2 linked regions of the Danio rerio genome follow. The protein of the gene in region 2 purifies or fractionates together with the protein of the main gene of each other region. This does not show direct contact. Links are inferred from orthologs where the notes say so. Each region holds a gene or a part of one and is shown on either strand. Other genes may lie near its edges.

Evidence for each region. Proteins that work in one complex are often made in the same cells at the same time.
Region 1: the proteins of strn3 (region 2) and cttnbp2 purify together in Homo sapiens (affinity purification with mass spectrometry; 4 studies listed by BioGRID and IntAct, with this or other methods). This does not show direct contact. The link is inferred for Danio rerio from reciprocal best matches to the Homo sapiens genes STRN3 and CTTNBP2.

The regions. Positions count from the first base shown.
Region 1 is NC_133193.1:22,153,720-22,160,140, forward strand, and holds part of cttnbp2 (cortactin-binding protein 2), read right to left. Parts: intron 6,308-6,421; coding exon 6,083-6,307; intron 4,495-6,082; coding exon 3,045-4,494; intron 1,270-3,044; exon of another isoform or gene 625-1,269; intron 227-624; exon of another isoform or gene 1-226. UniProt on the Homo sapiens protein: Regulates the dendritic spine distribution of CTTN/cortactin in hippocampal neurons, and thus controls dendritic spinogenesis and dendritic spine maintenance.
Region 2 is NC_133192.1:30,200,712-30,207,132, forward strand, and holds part of strn3 (striatin-3), read left to right. Parts: coding exon 1-14; intron 15-175; coding exon 176-249; intron 250-2,232; coding exon 2,233-2,314; intron 2,315-2,482; coding exon 2,483-2,659; intron 2,660-2,753; coding exon 2,754-2,892; intron 2,893-2,987; coding exon 2,988-3,129; intron 3,130-6,421. UniProt on the Homo sapiens protein: Calmodulin-binding scaffolding protein which is the center of the striatin-interacting phosphatase and kinase (STRIPAK) complexes.

The sequences.
Region 1 (6,421 bases), on a different chromosome or scaffold from region 2:
GCAGTAACTAGTGAGGCAGGGTGCTTATGTTGTGTCTAAATGTGTTCCCTAAAACACAACATTACCCAGACCAAGGAATCCCTTTTTCATTAAGAAATTATTTTAGGCCTGTGCCATTGGAGCAATGCTGATTGAGACAAGTATTTTGTAATTCAGTAGTCAAATTGCCCTCAAGATAGATGAACATACTGAATTTGTTTTTGAGAAGTAAAATTCAGTCAAAACCCTGCTGAAAAATCCAGCTTAAACCAGCCTAGGCTGGTTGGCTGGTTTTAGCTGGTTGACCAGGCTGGTTTTAGAGGGGTTTTGGCCACTTCCAGGCTGGTTTCCAGCCATTTCCAGCCTGGTCTTAGCTGGTCAGGCTGGGAGATGACCAGATAAAACCAGCTTGACCAGCCTAGCCAAGCTGGCAGTCCAGCCAAAACCAGCTATATCCAGCTTAAACCAGGCTGGTCAAGCTGGTATTAGCTGGATTTGGCTGGTCATTTCCAGCTAAGACCAGGCTGGAAATGGCTGGAAACCAGCCTGGAAATGGACAAAATCCCTCTAAAACCAGCCTGGTCAACCAGCTAAAACCAGCCAACCAGCCTAGGCTGGTTTAAGCTGGATTTTTCAGCAGGGAACAAAGGGTAAATGTTTGTGATGTACACATTTTGACACAACTTCTGAAATGTATTATTCTAGAGTGTATCAGCAATCCACACACTCTATACTATTAATCAAATCATTTTAATATGCTAAAGTCAACTTCATGTTTTTTGTCAATTAAATAAAATACAAAACGTAACTGCGTAAATCAAATCATGCAGCAGGCGGTTTAAAGTACATTAATCAAAGTCACGCAATATAAACTGTCAGTCAAACTGAAATGTTCTAAACATGGAGCTGAGTACAAGAGTCACGTCAATTAAAGAGTGTTAGAAAGATGGAAACTACAGCAGAGAAACGGACGAAGTTTAATAAAGTGCAGGGAGGGCTACTGGTAAACTGGCACCTATGTGGAAACAGAATTCAAATAACAAATCTTGCAATGGGGATGTAACTAATCTAGTATCTTAAGTGCTAATGCTAAGGCATGTTTGTAAATAGCTTTGTCTCTAGGGATTCTCTATGTTTATCTTTGTTAGTGGAGGGAGTTGAAGTGAGAGAGATAGATATAGGCCATTTCATTGGGGTCCAGTGGAAGCATTAGATAATTGGCTCTTTTCTGGGTTAAAATGGGCGGCAGAGAGAGCAGAGAAGCCTCAGAGAACTGCCATGGCCGAGTGGCTGCAGAGAGAGGGAGAAAAGTGCTAATATTTAGCAATTAGCGATGACAGCTAGCTACCAACATCTCTCAGAGCTACCCTGTGGATTAGTCTCTAGCGACAATAAAGAGGAAGACTCTGTTGGAATACTTGCTCTGCTTTCATTGATGTTACAATTGCCTTTCTCTGGAGCTCCCAGAGAGCTACGAAGAGGCCTGCAGAGACAGTGTGGTATTTCAAAATGTGAGAGAAATCTAAAGTTTTTGACAGCGTTTTTATCTAACTGCAGTTGGAACGGTCACAGACATTTGGCTTACAGACCAATGCATGGTTCTAACCAGCATCTCTTATAAAGCACTTTTAGTACTACCTTATGTTTCTGATGTCCGTCCAGAGCAAATTAAGTTGCTGTACTGATGTCTCCACCAGACTAAATAATTAGCTTAAGCAGAAAAACTTTACAAGGAAGACCATGTGGTTTACTATCTACCAGCCACGCTAAATCAGAACACCAAATCAGAACTAGCCAGCTGGAAAAGCTAGGACATTAATGTTTATCCTAAGCTGGTATTTTAGGGGGATAGCATTATTCAAAGTGGTGTCCAATTATGTTCCTGTAGGCCTACTGTCTTCCAGAATTTATCGAGGGCTATTTCTCAATATGCATTCTTATGCGTTATTGCTTCCTTGTGTTTTGTGTAACATCCTCATTAATCGCCAAAGTTCAGTTCTAAAACTTAAGACTGCAAAAATGGAGGACATGTGAAAGAACCCGTATGAGTTCTTGATACTGAGCTCAGATTTGAGCACAGTACTCGCTGTAGAAGACCCAAAAGTCATTGCGGCTAAATAAAAGAGGTGGAAACTGCCACATTTTTTATAAAAATTATTATTAAACTTGCTGTATGCTGTATGAAGAACACAGCATCTCATTTCTCACAGGCTGCATTCTATGTTCTCGTGGTCTCCCGAGTTCATTCTTCTGAGGTACCTTGATTGAGAAACAGCCAAGGTCTACATGGTCTCTACAAATTCCAGACAGGTGTGTTGGAGATGGATTTTGAAGGACATTGGCATTCCAGGAAAAGAACTGGACACCTCTGCTTTAAGATAAGGATTTACAAACTTCTTAAAAACATGGTGCATTATATTTCATATAAATGATTAAATGATATATTGCAGAACCAATAAATAGAGACTTAAACATTATTATGTGCAAGTTTACGACAAAAACAGTGCATTATGTCAATAGCAAAAATTTTTAAAACCATGGAAGTGAATGTTTAAAAATGCAGAGAACAACACAACATTCACAAGTATCAATTTTATCAATAATAGAAAGAAACAGATAGTGGCATGGACACAATGGAGTTGTTAGTTTAAGACTTGGGAATCAAGTTAGTGGTGGAACACAGGAAGGCAGAACCATGCTGTAGGGCAATGACAGGAAAAGGGAAAGAGCAGCCTCTGGCATCAGCTTCAGAAAGGGTTACAGGAAAGACCCCTAGAGACCTGCATCCTCGGGAGAGGGCCCACATTACCTATTTATATCTAAAAATGCTTTACTGAATTCGAAAATTCTGCCCTCAAGAAAACAAATGTTCATATCTTGGTCACATTGTACATAAGTACTGCTGGCAACTGACGGGTAATCAGAGTATGAATACTCCTCTCTTTGATACTCCACATCTATGTCCTCCTCTGCTGGCACTTACTTATAAATGCATCAAGTAGGAAAAGGGAGAGGAGTAGAGAGAAGTAGTGAAAGCAAGGGTGAAAAACGTAGCACCCTTTTACCTGATGCTGCTGCCAGGGGACTGCCCAGGTGCTGGGGGCTATGGGATGGAAGACTAGATGGGTTTATGGAGGGGCTACTGACAATGGTAGCTGTGGAGGAGGTGATGACAGGGGGACACTCCACACATGCTGCTGTTGGCTGCTGCCCCCATGGCCAGCCAGAACAGGATGCACCCACCTGTGACGCAGTCATGGCTGGGACTGTACCACCCATATCTAAGGAGGGTTTTGGTGGAAGCTGAGGGGTGGTAGCTGATTTGGCAAGACCCACCCCAAGTCCTGTTCCTGGGGACCTGCTAGCTTCACCTACTACTTTAATTGGTGGGTGTGGAGGGGATGGTGTCTGGGACAGTCCAGGTTTTTTTGGTGGGATCGGGGGTGGGTTACCCCTGTCGATTCGGGCCACAGTTGGTGATTTAAGGCCTATCTGGGGGTGGCCTAAACGTCCTGTGAAGGGTCCTCCCTCAGATGTAGAATGTGGCAGACCGGGCCGAAGGGCTGCAGGGGGTCCCCCTGCTGGAGGGCTTGTGAAGCGGGACAGAACCTGTGTGACAGTGTGTCGAGCCTGTTGTTTAGCTGCAAAGTTGTCTCGATTTGTGGGGGACAGGTCACGCGAGGGGGGGCTCTGGTTTGCGGTTCCATTTTGGTCCTGCTCTGAGGCAGAGGGTTGGAATTTGTAACGGGCTGCCTGGACGCGGGGACTAACCCCAGTCGGCAAGGTAGAAGATACACCAGGTGAATGTGAGCTATGTAGATGTGTTTGACCGTCCCCTCCATTTTCTGCCTGTGAGCTCCCATGGTGTAGCCCCCGTCCTGCACTGGAGGTCTTAGGTAGGTTCATGCTAGCATAGGTGGAGCCACTAGGCTTGACAGGGATGGAAAGTGGCACTTTCTTAGCTCCTTCATTTTCCAGCGGTGCATCTGTCTGAGAAGAGACAGTCTTGCAAACAGTTGCTTCAGTGCCCACAGCCACAGACACCATAGCCTTGGGTTTAACAGAGACAGATGCTGGGGTAACAGAAGGCAGTGGTGGGGAATCTTTGCATCTTTCAGTTCTTAGCTGCTCCACCTGCAAGCGGAGATTCTCACTTTCAGCCCGGAGTTCCACAGCACGAGTCTCCTCGCGGCTAAGCCTGGCACGTAGCTGCTCTCGCTCTGTGTCAAATTCAGCCAACTGTTTCTCCATCTCCGCTTCCATCTGTTGGCTACGACGTCGTTCAGATGCCAGTTCTTCTTCCAGACGTCCCACCGATCGACCATCCTGCTCAGTACGGGACGAAAGTTCCTCAAAGCGCTGGTTCTCTTCGACCACACGAGCAGCTAGCTGCTTGCATTCATGCACCAGTGACATCACCACGTGTTTGTTTTTCTCTCGCTCATCCTTCAGCTGAGCTGACAGCTTCCTGTGTTCCTGCTCCAGGCTCTGCAGCTGCAGTTTCTCCATTTCAAGCTAGACAGTAGCAGCAGGGCAAAAATGAGACTCGCAGAGGGTAAATAACACACACACACACACACACACACACACACACACACACACACACACACACACATATAGAGCAAGACACTGATTACTACACAATTACATAAGGTATTAAAGGTACAACAGTTCCTTCTACAATGTAACCATGCCTTGACAGTAATTTTTAAATCAAGTACAACTAAACTTGGGGATAAGTCCTCAAATCTCAGGTTACTTTCATTTAACTTTATGTAATTTTCAGCTTGTGTAAAAGTAATCAAGCAATTCCCACTCTAACAGTATGCAAGTGCACGCCTCGTACAGACTTAAGCTTTTTAGCCAATAAATGAAATATTACTTCTTTAGAAATAATGAGGTAACAGAAAACATTTAAGCACAACGTCCATCTGGTGATTATATACTACTATTTTGTTCTATTCTTAAACATCATTTAACATTTCCTCAGTGTGACTGGTACTATATATAAAAGCTGTTGCATTTACTACAGTACCAATGCAATAAGAGTACTGTCGCCATAACAACCAAGAACAAGTGTTTATTATTGGAACGGAGAGCTCAGATCAGTGTAACACATAAATATGCATGCTACTGTACATACCTTTATATAAACTGTATTTTCTAAACTAATAATAAAGTCTGTATAAAAATATAAGCATTAAACCATAGTTAACACAGATACTTTCAGATCTGCAAAAGTGGTGTGCAGTGACAGTTCAGAGGTCACTTTAAAGAGGCATGCCTGCATCTGTTTTAAAAGCTCAAGCCCAGCTTTGATATCATGTAGCTCGTATTTTCTGTAGCACTAGCTCAGATGGTGAGATATAGATTTACAGATGTGTTTGGCAGAGTATTTCAGAGCTTAGCGTCAATTTCTCTCCTTCTCTGACACCACTTGCTTTTCTTCTCAGGGGCTGCCATTGCTTGCCTTGTCTATCTTTCACTTTTTTACTCTGCATGTCTAGCATGCGCCTTGCTTTCGTGAAGGCTATAAAAAAAAACTTATTTCCAACACAATCCCTAAAACAGTATATTCTCAGCATACCTGCCAACACTATCGTTTTTGCCGGGAGTCTCCCATAGTTCAAACCTATCCCCCACTACCCTCCTGTTTTGTTATTTCTCCCAGAAAACTCCTATAAAAAGCTTTTCTGTACAGTCTGTAACGTTAACACACCCGGGTCACTAACTTTGGTATAGTATCAGATCTCAGCAGCTGCCCGAATCCCGGTCCATAGTGGAGTTACAACACCAAAGTACAGTTACTAATCCAGTTCTCAGCTGTATTATTCAGACAAACAAACACCGCCACCCCCCAAGCAATGCTAATACCAAACTCCGACCAGCCCCACACGCCCCAATTTTGAAGACAGGGGTTGGCAGGTATGATCCTGAGAGTAACTAGGAACCTCTCTGACAGCAAATGTAACAATGTCAAGGCAATTCCTACGAAAATACTGACTTTTTTTAGATGGAATATGTAAACCCATCACTTAATCCTTTCTGTAGTCTTGTTTTTTACATATAAACGGAGTTAAATGCTCACAAATTGAGATCTTACCCTCTTCTGTCTGGTCTCAGCAGCCGAGAGTTGGGCAGACATCTTCTCCTGCATCTTACGGCAGTGGGCCATAACAGCTTCCAGCACAGTGATGGGGCTTGCGCTGACTGGCCTACGATCCTTTGGGCCCATCCCTGACTCAAAGTCCCTCTGCATGGCGAGGAATGGGTCTGTCAGACTGAACTGTCCATATCGCTCCTGCAGGAACACTTCTTTTCTTCGAGCCTATGAAGAAAATAATATAGAAGCAAAACAACAGATTAGCATTTTCTCAGAGTTAAGTCCATATTGTTGTTAAAGGGGCCTGAAACCCCCATCTTTCAGTACAATTCTACCTCA
Region 2 (6,421 bases):
TTAAAGCAAGAAAGGTTTGTGATTCTTTTTTGTAACATTAGTTATTGTAAAAGAAAATGTTGATCAAAGTAAAGCTATTTTCATATTTATATTAAAAAGCTTATGCATGTATGTGTGTGTGTGTTAGTTTATGTATGCCTGTATTTTTAACAAAGATTCTGTCTTTCATTTCTAGAGCAAAATACCATAAATTAAAATATGGGACAGAACTTAATCAAGGTGAAGTGAAAATGCCTAGCTTTGAATCAGGTAAGAGGACCCAACCTATTTTTAAAGTGTATAATATCAGGGTTCACACCCTTCTTGAAAGGACTTGAATTTCAGACATATAGTTTCAAGGTCTGTAAAGTACTTTAAAAAAATGAAGGTCCTTGAAAGTGTTTAAATTATATTTGAAATGACATTAGTTTATGGTTTTATTTTAACAATTGTACTCAATTGTCAAAAAAGAATGATAAAAACAGAAATTATTTTAAAAATGTACATTTATTCTTGTACAATAGCACTGACAAATAATGCACATTTTACCAACATTTCAGAAACCGCATTTGAATGTCACCAATATTGAATTCAACAAATTTTGTTAAAGTTCTTTAAACAGGATTTTTTAATCGGTCAAAAAATGGTTTTAATGTAAATATTAGGTGTAAATGAAATGTTAAGCACAGGAAGGCCTTTCATATGCTGGAGTGTGAATTACAAAGTGCTTGATTTAAAATTAATGGTGCTTTAAAAAGTCCTTAAGAGTCTTGAATTTGCTGTTCACGAAAGCATGGGAACCCTGTAATATACAATACAGTCTGATATCTATTATATATTTTTTTTTACAATGGACCTTTTCACAAGAGTGTTATGACGCTTTTAACAGTCATCATAATCTTAAATTCTTGAAAGTTTTTCAATATTTTTATTTTTTTTAAACGTATGTATATTTATGTTTTTACATCTTTATTATATCTTCTTTGCATGAAATTACAAAAAACGAAATGCTGATAGTGCAAGGTGTTTGTAATGCAGCATCTATGGACAGGACAGTAAATTTAATGTTGTTCTTTCTTCTGGCTGTTATTAGTATCACACTTTTTTTTTTCTTTTTCTGAAAGTCTTCATAACACCATTGTGGTGTTTTTCTTTTGAGATTTCAGCAAATAGGATTGTAAAAAAAGTTAAAATTGTTGTACTCTCCATTCACTGTGCACTAAGTTTACCTAACTATGATGACTTCTGCTACTTAGAAACCAAAAAATGTGAAATGGATCTATTTGAAATATTAAATGTATATATAATGTATTTCTGTTAAAGTTTAATTTTTCAGCATACATTCTTCAGTCATGTTATTATTATTATCATTATTATTATTAAAAATGTTACTATTACTAGTTTAACCAGATATAAAGTATGATACATTTGTAATCTATTTATGTTTGATAGCTAACAGCTTTTGAAAACTAACAGTACTTTTACTAACAGTAATATTAGTGATTAATATTAGGGATGCACTTGGTTGGAAACCTAAAGACGTTTTATGTTAATGTTTATCACTGTTTTACATTTTTATAAATTTTAAATTTTCTGATTAAAATCAACAAAATTTGAAGGTTGAGACTTTCTAGTTGTTTCATATAAAAGCAATAGACATTAGACCTACCCATAAAGTCCACACATTTAACTGTTGTAGTTTGACCTTGTTATGTCAAGCTGAGCAATCAAATTGACCCATCAGAGAATCTCCAAATAAATGTGACTTTGTTTTAATCAACCACTTCAGTCCTTCAAAACCATTTCATCCTCAATCTGAAAATAATTTTTTCTAACGGAATATCCAGAAACATTTTAATGGTTGTATGCATGTATTTTTTTGTTCTGGAATCTCAAATGTGTTTGTTATCACTTTATTTTGATGGTCCCTTTAATGCATTTTGTTGAATTTAAGTTGCATTGCATCTATATGCCAACTAATTCTCAATAGGTTATAAGTAGTGTTAGGTTGGGGTTAGGGTTACGGTTAGTGTAATTTGACATGTACTTGTAAAGTTTCAAATAGTCAGTTAAATGTGTTGATGGAGCAGAATCAGCAGATATTAAGCTGAAAGTCTACTAATACTCAAATGAGATGTAATTGACATGTAGTTGAAATGCAACTTTTAGTCAATAAAATGTGCAATAGGGACCATCAAAATAAAGTTTTGCCATGTGTTTTATTAAACTTTTGTATTTTTCTGTTTCATAAAGAAGATACCAAAGATACAGAGGTCTCAGCTATACCACAGAATAGCCAGTTAACGTGGAAACAGGGCAGGCAACTTCTCAGACAGTAAGTTAGCCTTGAGTCATTATACTTTTCCTAATGACGCTTGTGCATTCCGTGTGTGCGTGCATTTCAGTTCTGCTAAGAAAGTTCATAGGCATCTGTGTTGTCACGTTATCACTATTTATATCACCGGCTCTGTTCTGACCGACTTTACGCATCTGTCTTTTCAAGATATCTTCAGGAAGTAGGTTATACGGACACAATACTGGACGTCCGGACGCAGCGAGTGCGGTCATTACTAGGACTGTCCGGCTCAGAGCAGAATGGTTCCGTGGAAACCAAGAACCTAGAACAAATTCTAAATGGAGGCGAATCTCCAGCCAAAAGAAAGGGACAAGACATGAAAAGGTGTTGATTGATTTGATTTGATGCAACTGGTAAATTCATATAAACAATTAAATGAGATTTCTTAACGTTGTCTGTGATGCCTTTTGTTTAACAGGAATCCAGAAGTTCTGGAGACATTTAATTTTTTAGAAAACGCTGATGATAGTGATGAAGAAGATGATGATGAGGGTGATATAATGGAGGATGTGCCTGACAGGAGCGATAAACGCAGAATAAAAAAACATAAGATTAAGGTGTGTAACCAGGATATTTTACATGTCAATGATCTCAAAGTAGTCATTCTCAGGATATAGAAGTTCATGTGTTGTAGTCTTGACTACTTTTCCAGGTCGGAAATGAAGGATTGGCTTCAGACTTGCCGGATGACCCTGACACAGAGGACGCACTCAAAGAGTTTGACTTTTTGGTGAATGCGGAGGATGGAGAAGGTGCTGGGGAAGCTCGGAGTTCTGGAGACGGCACAGAGTGGGGTAAATAGTTTGCTTTTTACTTTAATGCTGCTTTACTATGGTACATCACACTTTTGGGAGATTTGCACTGTGCAGAGTACCTGGTATACCTCTGTTGAGTTTTGAAGTGAGCTGTGCAGAAACTAAAAGAGAGAATCGTCACTACCTGCGTCATTGTAACACGACACAACAAACCTGCAAGATGTAAATAAATAGTCAGCATCAGCCGCTGTGGGATTATTTTCAATGACTGACACGCATCTTCTAATGGCTGTATCATGGTCAGTAGAGAAGGTGCAGACGTTCCTCATGTTGATATTCAAGAAGCAGATCCAGTGTGATCTGGATGTGGCAACCAGGAATTAGGTTACATTTTAGTAGATGCGGTGCAAAAAAACGTATAATCTCATCCACTTTGCTTTTTTTTAACCACACAGTGAAAAAGTGACTTAAGGCTACATTTTCTTGTCAACAATGTAACCAAAAACTGAAAACTTTTTTTACTTGCATTAAAAAAAAGTTTCACATTTACATATCTTTTTCAAAATACATTTATGAAAATGTCCTAAAACACTGATTTATATTTGGCAGAGCAGTATTTGATGTTTTCACCTTGTTAGTAGGGCTGCATAATGTTAAAAAAACTGATATGGCAATATTTAGTTTTGCTGCGATATAATATTGCGTTATGAATATAATCACTAGATTCACTGAATAGCTCCAACCTATTTGGAAAGATGTCATTCTTTGAGATTGACTGAGGTGATCAAATCTATTTCTATGCAGTGTGTCTAAATATGACAGAGTAAAAATAAAAGTTTAATAAACAGTGCTTTTTTTGTGGAGTCTAACAGTATTCAAATACAAAACCATACAAAAATATTGTACAAATCATTGTTTAAACCTTGTATGCAATAATATAAAAATTATATTCAGCATTTTCTTTATATTTTGATATTTAATCAATTGAATACTGCGATGTGACTATTGTGGAAAAACACATTGCGAAATCAATGCGCAAGCGGTATATTGTTCAGCCCTACTTGTTAGAAAATAGTACCCCAAGGAAGGAATGATGTTCAGTTGGCGGCTCTGCGCTGATGTTTATGTAGAATTCAAAGTGTGTAAGATGCGTCTATGCTGTTGCTTGTAATGCAAAGTAAATCCACACCTTGCTCCTGAAGCATTAGCCAACAGTTGAGCATCAACAACACTAGCATGTACTGTGCCACTGTTGTGTGTTTATTTGGGCTTGCCTTTAATCTGCATCTCCCTAAATGTGCACACACATGACGTCATTGTGTAAGCCCCAAAAAAATAGTTATTGAAAAAAAGGCGACAATGTTCTTAATAACTTTAACTTTGAAATCCATTTTCATATTTATGCAGGTAATGTCACAGAAATGCTAAACGAACAAGCAAAATACTTCAAACGTTTTGAGATATTGGCTGAAATTGTTGTCGCATAAAGAGCCACTAAGTGTGACTGAGTATAATTTGTGTTATTGAGTGAAAAACACAGGTCACATTGGTGTGCAAGTCTATAATTCATTCCAAAGTAGTATGAAATTGGCTGCCAGTAGCCCTAAATAAACTGAAATGCCTACAGACATTATAAACGTATATTCTACTATGTCACTCTACAACAAATCTTTTTAATAGTGCTCAGTACAGAAAAGGAACAATAGGTATGAAAAAACTATCAAGAATAAAAAGCAGTTGTTATGTCAGTGGCTGAAAGCATAATTCAATATAAATGTCAAGTCTAAACTTGTTTATTCAAAGCAAAACTGAAATGATTAGCATTATTATATATATATATATATATATATATATATATATATATATATATATATATATATATATATATATATATATATATATATATATATATATAAAATATGTGCTATAATCTAAATAGTTGTGTGTCTCATTCATCACCAATCCACCAATGCATTTGTTTTGCTCACCTCATACTAATTCCATTAAGTCACTTTGGAGTTTAGGTTGCATCCTTTTTAAATGAAAAAATGTCTTATATTTTGAAATACATAATAATTGTCAAGTGATGAAACAGGGCACATCTCTTAATATTCTTACAGGATTTGAGTGTTTGATTATTAAGCAGGACATCCTTATTAGTGTGTAGTATTGAAATATGGACTGAAATTTAAAGGTTCATCCAAACAAGAACTATTTATTATCAACCCAGCCTAGTGTTGATCCAGCTCTGTTTTTTATATTAGATTTTAGAATGTTCATTTATTTGTGATTGGTCAAATCAAAAGTGGTTTATATTGAAGACTTCTAAACAGGACATCATAGCACCATAGTGATGCTATAATTGTTTTTTTTTTTTATGACAACAGATTTTCAGCAGCCATTACTTGTCACATGATCCTTTAGAAGTAAATAAAACATATTGATGTGTTAATAAAGAATATAATTTTTTTATTGCCCCAAATATGACATTGTTGATTTTGACTTTTTGTGGTCTTACAAAGCTTGGAACATACAGGTGATGATGATAGTCCATTAGTAAACATTAGCATTAATGTTTAGTGTATGGAAATGAGCTGTTTTGACATTATGCAAGTTTGCTAGTCTTTTAATTAAAGAAAAGAGACTGCATAAATGTGAAAACATAATGAACTATATGAATCTGTGTCTGTATGGGCATGTGTGTTCCTTGCATGTGATTGTGGCACACACCGGCCCTGCAGTAGAATCTTAACGAGGCCAGTTGCTGCATCAGCATTCCTGCCAGGAGATTCTCTTACTGCTCCGACCAGAGCCAGCTGGGTCAAACACATCAGCTCATTACATCCATCCCGCAGCCGTGCTTTTTCTTTTTGTATCTCTCACTCTTTTTATCTTACTCACTTCTCTTTGACCTATTTCTAAGCTAAGGATTATGTAAATCTTACTATAGAGTATGCATTTTTGATAAAGTAGCATAATTATGTGTGAAGTGTCACCCCTAAATTGGGATGTTTATTACATTTAAACATTTGATCAATACGTGGTGTATTCCTGAAACATAAACTCTGTTGATTAACCCAGACTTTTGTTTCTGAACGTTTCTTCATTCCAAAAGTTTGCAAGCAAAGTTACCTTTTCAAAGTGAGCATTTTAACTCCAGGTCCAGGTGTATCATAATTCTTTCTTTTAATTCGTCACACCCATTGCGGCTTCATTAATAAGACATGCATGCACCTAACACCTCTAAAGTAAATTAAGCCGGAAACATAAACCTCTCTAAAGCAGTTGTTCAGAAAGAATTTGTAAGGAATATTTGGCTACAGATTGTACA